Linked DNA regions of Oryctolagus cuniculus. The protein of the gene in region 2 purifies or fractionates together with the protein of the main gene of each other region. This does not show direct contact. Links are inferred from orthologs where the notes say so. Each region holds a gene or a part of one and is shown on either strand. Other genes may lie near its edges. The genes, in order: TLE2 and CCT4.

Region 1 (4,549 bases), on a different chromosome or scaffold from region 2:
ACCTCAGAACCCTGGGTCACCCGCAAGCTAAGGGAGAAACTCAGGGCCGGCGTGTGGCGCAGCGGGTAAAGCCGCCGCCTGCAGTGCCCACATCCCCTATGGGCGCCGGTTCGAGTCCCGGCTGCTCCACTTCCAATCCAGCTCCCTGCTGTGGCCTGGAAAAGCAGTGGACGATGGCCCAAGTCCCTGGGCCCCTGCACCTGCGTGGGGGACCCGGATGGAGCCCCTGGCTCCTGGCTGTGGATCAGCCCAGCTCCGGACATGGTGGCCATTTGGGGAGTGACCCAGCAGATGGAAGACCTCCCCCCGCCTCACAACCCTACCTTTCAAATAAATAAATCAGTCTTACAAACAAACAAAAACCTCAGAACCTCCCGGCATGAGGGTCAATCTCAGAACCTCGCGGGCTATCTCAGAATCGCGACACCAAATCCCTCAGCTCGGGAAGTCAGCTCAGCACCCAGCTCACGCGGAAGTCTAGAGCCCTGGGTCAATCCCAGAACCCGAGGGCTATCTCAGAACCCTGAGGTCTACCGTGGCAATACCTGGTCAGCCTGAACCACGACACGGAGCGCACGGCCCGCAGAGCCACCTCGCAGCCCCGGCCCGCGCCTCCCGGCTCGACCTCAGAACCTCGGAAGTGCACCAGCGTCTCGGGGGCCATCTCAGACCCAGCAGGCCCGAGACTGTGCACGCGGCCCCCGGCCCGGCCGTCCTCAACCACGGGGACGCCGGGACCCTGCCCTCCGCCCGCCCGGCTCAGAAGCCGAGAGAGGCTGGCACGGCCCCCAGCCCCGCTCCCAGCCCCCCCTCACCTGTTTGTGCATCTCGATGTTGAGGCCGTAGGACATCTCATAGTACTGCGGGGAGAGGGCAGCTCAGGGACCCGGGTCTACAGGAGCCCCCGGCCGGGGAGAGAGCAGCTCAGGGACCCGGGTCTACAGGAGCCCCCGGCCGGGGAGAGGGCAGCTCACGGACCCGGGTCTACAGGAGCCCCCGGCCGGGGAGAGGGCAGCTCAGGGACCCGGGTCTACAGGGGCCCCCGGCCGGGGAGAGAGCAGCTCAGGGACCCCGGGTCTACAGGAGCCCCCGGCCGGGGAGACGGCAGCTCAGGGACCCCGGGTCTACAGGAGCCCCCGGCCGGGGAGAGAGCAGCTCAGGGACCCGGGTCTACAGGAGCCCCCCGGCCGGGGAGAGAGCAGCTCACAGACCCGGGTCTACAGGAGCCCCCGGCCGGGGAGAGGGCAGCTCAGGGACCCGGGTCTACAGGGGCCCCCGGCCGGGGAGAGGGCAGCTCAGGGACCCCGGGTCTACAGGAGCCCCGGCCGGGGAGAGGGCAGCTCAGGGACCCCGGGTCTACAGGAGCCCCCGGCCGGGGAGAGAGCAGCTCAGGGACCCGGGTCTACAGGAGCCCCGGCCGGGGAGAGGGCAGCTCAGGGACCCCGGGTCTACAGGAGCCCCCGGCCGGGGAGAGAGCAGCTCAGGGACCCGGGTCTACAGGAGCCCGAGGCTGGGGGAGGGGCACAGCAGGACAGGGCCCCCAGCAGAGACCCCCCTGAGTGGGGGAGGGGGCAGCCTGGGGTCAGTGCCCCCTGGTCTCCCTGGAGTGACCCTGAGAGACAGCCCAGGGCACAGGTGGGGGCGAGAGGAGGCCGAGAGCCGGGGGGGCCCTCACCATGACGAGGAGCTGGGGGGGGACCCTCACCATGATGAGGAGTGGGGGGGACCCTCACCATGACGAGGAGCGGGGGGGACCCTCACCATGACGAGGAGGGGGGGGACCCTCACCATGATGAGGAGCTGGGAGGGCCCTCACCATGATGAGGAGCTGGGGGGTCCATCACCATGACGAGGAGCTGGGGGGACCCTCACCATGACGAGGAGCTGGGGGGGCCTCACCATGACGAGGAGGGGGGGGACCCTCACCATGATGAGGAGCTGGGAGGGCCCTCACCATGACGAGGAGCAGGGGGAGACCCTCACCATGACGAGGAGGGGGGGCCCTCACCATGACGAGGAGGGGGGGCCCTCACCATGACGAGGAGCGGGGGGGGGCCTCACCATGATGAGGAGCGGGGGGGGGCCCTCACCATGACGAGGAGCGGGGGGGGGCTCACCATGACATAATGCCGCTGCATCTCCGTCTTCTCGCTGGCCAGCTTCTCGCACTCCAGCTTGAGACTGCGAGGACACGGGGTGCGGGGTCCCCCAGCACCCCGCGGGGGGGCCAGTTTCCAAAGTGCGGCCTGGGTCTCCCCTCCTCCTCGCCACCCCTCCCTGACCTCAGAGCCCCCCCACACCGCACCTCACCTGCCTCCCCAGCCCGGCCCCGCCCCTCCAGGTGCACCCCGCGCCCCCTGCCCGCCCCTCCCCCGCACCTGTGGTACTGTGCCTGCAGGAACTGGAATTCCTCTTTGATGCGGTCACAGATCTCCAGGATGGAGAACTTGAAGGGCTGGCCCGACTGGAGCGGGGTCTGGGGGAGGGGTTAGGGCAGGGGGGACGTCAGGGTCCCGGGCGCCGGGGACTCCCCCGCCGCCGCCCGAGGCCCCCCACTCACCGGGTGCCTGCCCTGGGGGTACATCCTGCAGCGCTGAGACGCACCCCCCGCGCCGGACAATATGGGGAGGGGGCGCGGGGCGACCGCGGCGGGTTGGGGGGGGGGGTCCGGGGAAAAAGCGGGAGGGCGACAGAGCGCGCGGGGCAGCGCCCGGGAGTCCCTGGCGGGCGCCCCCGCGAGCGGCCCGGGTGGCGGGGACGAGCGGCGGCGCGGGGCGCGGAAGGTCGGGGCGCGGGCGCAGCCGGGTTTCGGCGGCGGTGGCGGCGCGGGCGGCGCGGGCCCCGCGCGGAGCCGCCTCCCTCCGGCGGGGCTCGGCCGGGAGCCGCGGGCAGAGCCGCTTAAGGTGGCGCCGCCGCCCCCGCCCCGCCCGCGCGGCGCGGCGCCCCCGCCCCCGCCAGCCCCGCAACAACTTTGCCCTCCCACCCGCAACCCCGGGACCCCTCTCTGCTCCCTGCCCGGTGGGGACGCTGGCGCCCCGCACCCACCCACCTACCCGCCCGCCCACCCGCCGCCAAGGCCGGGAGCGGAAGAGCCGAGAAAACAGACGCCCAGGCCCGGAGCGGGAGCAGCCGCGAGGGCAGGGGGCGTCCGGGGTGGGCGGCCCTGGCCTCAGGTGTCAGGGCCTTGGTGGGGGGAGGGGGACACCTGCCAGGCCAGGGGCGCTCACGCGGGGCTGGGCTGGGACCAGAGCCAGTTGCTGGCCCCCCACGGCCTCACTGTTCCCCCCTCCTCACCCGCTGTCTTTAAGTCAATCCTTAAGTCAATCAACAAACACGCAGGGAGCCCACCTGCAGCTCCAGGAACTGGGGCACAGCCCACAAGGCTGCCCTGGGCCGTGTACTGGGCCGGTGAGGGCGCCGGGGCCCAGGCCCTCACCTGCAGGCGGCCTCTTTCTCTGGGGCCGGCCGTGCTCAGCCCTCAGCCGCTGCCTGCTCCCCCCACCCCGCCTGCTGGGGCCCCTGCACCAGCGAGGGCCACCTCGGGGAGTCCCAGGCTCCTGCCCAGGCCACTGTGGCCATCTGGGGAGTGACCCGGCACAGGGAAGGTCTGGGGCTCCGTAGGTCTCCTTTCACAGAACTTTTTTTTTTTTTAAGATTTAATTTATTTGAGAGGTAGAGTTACAGACAGAGAGAGGCAGAGTTGGAGAGAGGAGAGGTCTTCCATCCGCTGGGTCACTCCCCACTTGGCCGCAACGGCCGGAGCTGAGCTGATCCAGAGCCAGGAGCCAGGAGCTCCATCCGGGTCTCCCACGCGGGTGCAGGGGCCCAAGCACTGGGGCCATCTTCTACTGCTTTCCCGGGCCACAGCAGGGAGCTGGATGGGAAGTGGAGCAGCCGGGACTCGAACCCGCTCCCACATGGCACTGCAGGCCGGGGCTTTACCCGCTGGACCACAGCGCCGGCCCCTAAGGCATCTTTCTTAAGCCATGGCCAGATATCCTCTCGTAGCTGTCCCAGGTCCCGTCCAGGCGCCAGGGAGACCGGACGGACGAGGGACAGGACTCCTGGCCGCCCCGCTCTGGGGCAGTCCTGGGACAGAGCAGGCGGGAGTGCCCGTGGCCGCGTGGCTGCGTGGCCGCTACACAATCGTGTGGGCAAAGGGAGAGCTCGGGGAGGCGGGGTTGGCTGGGAGGGGGCTGACACGGGCAGGGAGAGGTGGGGAGGCCGCGGGAGTGCGGGGCAGAGGCTCCCTGCCCGGCGGGTGCGCCTGGGCTCCCTGCTGCCCCCGGGGACGCCCACAGCCCACAGCCCTGCCCTCCGTTCCCGCTCACACGCGCCTGCAGCGCCCGCATCCCACGTGGGCGCAGGTTCGAGTCCCGGCTGCTCCTCTTCTGATCCAGTTCCCTGCTGTGGCCTGGGAGAGCAGTGGACGATGGCCCACGTCCTTGGGCCCCTGCACCTGCCGGGGAGACCCGGATGGAGCTCCTGGCTTCGGATCGACACAGCTCTGGCCGTTGCGGCCATCTGGGGAGTGACCCAGCGGAGAGAA
Region 2 (3,798 bases):
TTTAGTAAACAAACTAAATTAGGCATCTGAAGTGAAAATTAAAAAAAAAAAAAAAAAAAAAAGGCCCTCACCAAATAAAAGCTTCATTATGATACTGTTACCTTGAGCAGTTTGCCAGAGCCGTTTAAATTGACCTCCTCTGCTAACTCAGCAGAACCCAGCATATCAGCAGTGAACTGGTCAATATGAGCAACTGGCTTGGTTCCAATTGTCTGGAAAAACAGTACAATCCAAAAATTAAGACATGTATTTTAATACTGGGAATTTTATATACATAGAGAGAGGTGTTAACATTTTACCTTACAAATGAATTCAATGTCTTCTCTCTCAATATCCTTAATCACCATAATCTTCATTTTGTTCAGGAAATGTAATGCAAGATCACTAAGAGCATCTCTAAAATACAAATCAGTGATTAAGCTAATGCTAGGTAAAACAAAAACAAAATCCCCCATTTTGCTGTTCAACTTCTTTTAATTATTTTACTGTTAAAATGGTCAATATTATTTCTGAAGAAAAATGCTCTAAATATCAGTTATAAGCTCAAAAGTCTTAAAACAATTTCCAATTATACTGGAAATTTCACTGAAATTCTAACACTAAAATATATTCCCCTTTTGCAGGCCTTATGGTGCAGCAAGCTTTGGGTCCTTGCACCCCATATCTGAGTGCCTAGTGTTGAGTCCTAGCTTATCCACATTTCCAATCCAGCTTCCTGCTAATGCATCTGCAAAGTTGTAGGTGGTGGCCCAAACACTTGGGTTTCTGCCACTCATGTGGGAGATCTGGATGGAGGGCCAGGCTCCTGGCTTCAAGTAGGCCCCACCATGGCCATTGTGGCTGTTTGGGGTGTGAACAGGCTGATGGAACAGATCTCCTTCTATTTCTTCCTCTGTAACTCTTTCATATGAATGAATCTTTCTTAATTTTTTTTTTTTTTTTTTTTTTTTTTTGACAGGCAGAGTGGACAGTGAGAGAGAGAGACAGAGAGAGAAAGGTCTTCCTTTGCCGTTGGATCACCCTCCAATGGCCGCCGCTGCAGCCGGCGCACCGTGCTGATCCGATGGCAGGAGCCAGGATCCAGGTGCTTTTCCTGGTCTCCCATGGGGTGCAGGGCCCAAGCTCCTGGGCCATCCTCCACTGCACTCCCTGGCCATAGCAGAGAGCTGGCCTGGAAGAGGGGCAACCGGGACAGAATCCGGCGCCCTAACCGGGACTAGAACCCGGTGTGCCGGCGCCGCAAGGTGGAGGATTAGCCTATTGAGCCACGGCGCCGGCCCTTAATTTTATTTTTAAAAAGTAGTATGACTATAGCCTGGACTCCATAAATTTATACCTTTTGGAAAGATGAGCAATTTACTCAGTTTACATTTGCTTTAACATTAATTATTTATTAAAAACAAGTCTTCCAAGCCTTCACATGATCTATTAAAGATGAGCACCCACAGTCTTTCTGGCCTATTCATCAATAAATGAGAATATGCATACCTATTAGGAAAAAACAGATTAAGTGAAACTGGATAGTTCATTTTTTCTATTTTTTCAGAGTAGAAAGGTTTTTATTTATCCATTTTTTTCAAAAGGCAGACTGACAGAATTTTCCATCTATTGGCTCATTCCCCAAATGGCCGCCAACAGCCAGAAACTCCATTCAGTCTCCCACATGGATGGCAGGGTCCCAATTACATCAGCTGCTACCTTTCCAGGAACATTAGCGAGAAGCTGGATGGGAGTGGAACAGCTGGGACTTGAGCTGACCCTTCATTGTGGGATGTGCCACAACACCAACTTCAATTCTTTAGTATCTGGACTATGCAAAGCACTCTCCTCAAAGGAACTTCAAATTTCAAGGCCAGTAATTGTACAGATACCTAAATAAAGGTTTCTTTTAGATTTATTCATTTGTTTGACACCCCAAATGCAGATTCATTCTAGATTTTTAGTGGTTTACCCATAAAAAATTGCTAGCAGCGATCCAAAATCAATAATTAAGGCAGGGCTGGCATTGTGGTGCAGCAGGTTAAGTCGCTACCCATGAGTGCCAGTTAAGTTCTGGCTGTTCCACTGCCCATTCAATTGCCTGCTAATGTACCCGAGAAAGCAATGGAGAATGGCCTGAGTACTTGACCTCTCCCACCCACATAGGAGAACAAGATGAAGACCCAAGCTTTGGCCTGGCCCAACCCTGATCATTACAGATAGAAGATTTCTGTCTCTCCTTCTAACTTTGCTTTTCAAGTAACATTTTTTTTTTTTTTTGAAGATTTCTTTATTTCAGGTTAAGAGTTACACAGGGGCGGGGGGCACATCTTCCATCTGCTGGCTTACTCCCCAGATGACTGTGACAACATGGGCTAGGCCAAGCCAAAGCCAGGAGCCCTAGTACTTGGGCCATCTTCCTCTGCTTTTCCCAAACTGTTCCCTGGAGAAGTGGAGCAGCCAAGACTCAAACCAGCACAATATGTGATGCTGGTGTTGCAGGTGGCCCGTAAGTAATCTAAAAAAAAAAAACAAAAAACGCTATTGGGGCCGGCGCTGTGGTGTAGCCAGTAAAGCTGTCCCCTGCAGTGCCAGCATCCCATAAGGGCGCCGGTTCGAGTCCCAGCTGCTCCACTTCCAATCCAGCTCTCTGCTATGGCCTGGGAAAGCAGTAGAAGATGGCCCAAGTCCCTGGGGCCTTGCACCCGTGTGGGAGACCTGGAAGAAGCTCCTGGCTCTGGATCGGCCCAGCTCTGGCCGTTGTGGCCAACTGGAGAGTGAACCAGCAGATGGAAGACTTCTCTCTGCCTCTTCTTCTCTTTGACTTTCACATAAATAAATAAATCTTTCAAAATAAATGCTATTAAAGAATGAACAAAGCAAACAGCCTCCTACCTTAGGATGGACTTCTGTATGAGAAGGACATTACAGCCTGTTTTCTTAATTTGCTTCACTAAGTTTAAAATATAGGCTCGCTCTTCTCGTAGCACTCGGTCCATCTGGGCATAGTCAGAAACGACTATTTGATTATCCATCTGTTTACAAAAGAATCAATGATTTGCATTGGTAAAGAAATTTTAAGTGAAGTTAAGACTCTCACGCTGTTCCAACTAAATTCACCTAAATCATAGTCAAAAATAGATCGGCAAAGAAAAAGGCCTGGAGATATGTATTCCAAACTCGAGTGTTTTCAACTGTTGCCTTATTTATACTTTTCATATTAAAAAAAGTAAAATAAATATTCTATTTCTTGAATGTCATTTTTTCCACATCAAGAAAATTGTATTATAGAAATTTTAGTTCAATCCTTTTAATTTTATTGCTTGTAATAAAAATACTACACTGAGAAAATAGCAGAAATCTTATCTATATCAACACGTAAAACAGGAGAGCAAACTTACATAAGGTGACAACCCTCCCCCCCTTCAGAGAATGGCATTCATGACTAAAAGGGAAATACCTTAAGTAAAAAGCAATTTCTTCAGAGTACAGGTATTGAACTAAAGTTCCATTTGTACAAATGTAGAACAAGAGATACCCAAGTTAGTGGACTGGTGAAAGTTTCCATTCTCAGAAAGGTAGAAACAATCTGCAAATTCCACATATAACTTACAATACATTTTTATATCCCTGTTATTTGTCTTCAAGTCAGAATTCAATTTCAGTGAATATTCAGTTGAGGCGATATATTTGTTACATGTGTCATCAACAATTTCTATGTCTCTATTTTATTAATTCTTTTGAAATCTTTGCTTTTTAATTACAGCATTTTCTGTTTTCATTTTAATGAACAAATGACCCATTTAGAGGAACCAAGTT

What was found.
Region 1: the proteins of CCT4 (region 2) and TLE2 purify together in Homo sapiens (affinity purification with mass spectrometry; 3 studies listed by BioGRID and IntAct, with this or other methods). This does not show direct contact. The link is inferred for Oryctolagus cuniculus from reciprocal best matches to the Homo sapiens genes CCT4 and TLE2.

The regions. Positions count from the first base shown.
Region 1 is NC_091447.1:59,642,637-59,647,185, reverse strand, and holds the start of TLE2 (transducin-like enhancer protein 2), read right to left. Parts: upstream 2,844-4,549; 5' UTR 2,585-2,843; coding exon 2,561-2,584; intron 2,477-2,560; coding exon 2,379-2,476; intron 2,182-2,378; coding exon 2,118-2,181; intron 861-2,117; coding exon 816-860; intron 1-815.
Region 2 is NC_091433.1:140,930,408-140,934,205, reverse strand, and holds part of CCT4 (T-complex protein 1 subunit delta), read right to left. Parts: intron 3,015-3,798; coding exon 2,875-3,014; intron 397-2,874; coding exon 300-396; intron 213-299; coding exon 102-212; intron 1-101. UniProt on the Homo sapiens protein: Component of the chaperonin-containing T-complex (TRiC), a molecular chaperone complex that assists the folding of actin, tubulin and other proteins upon ATP hydrolysis.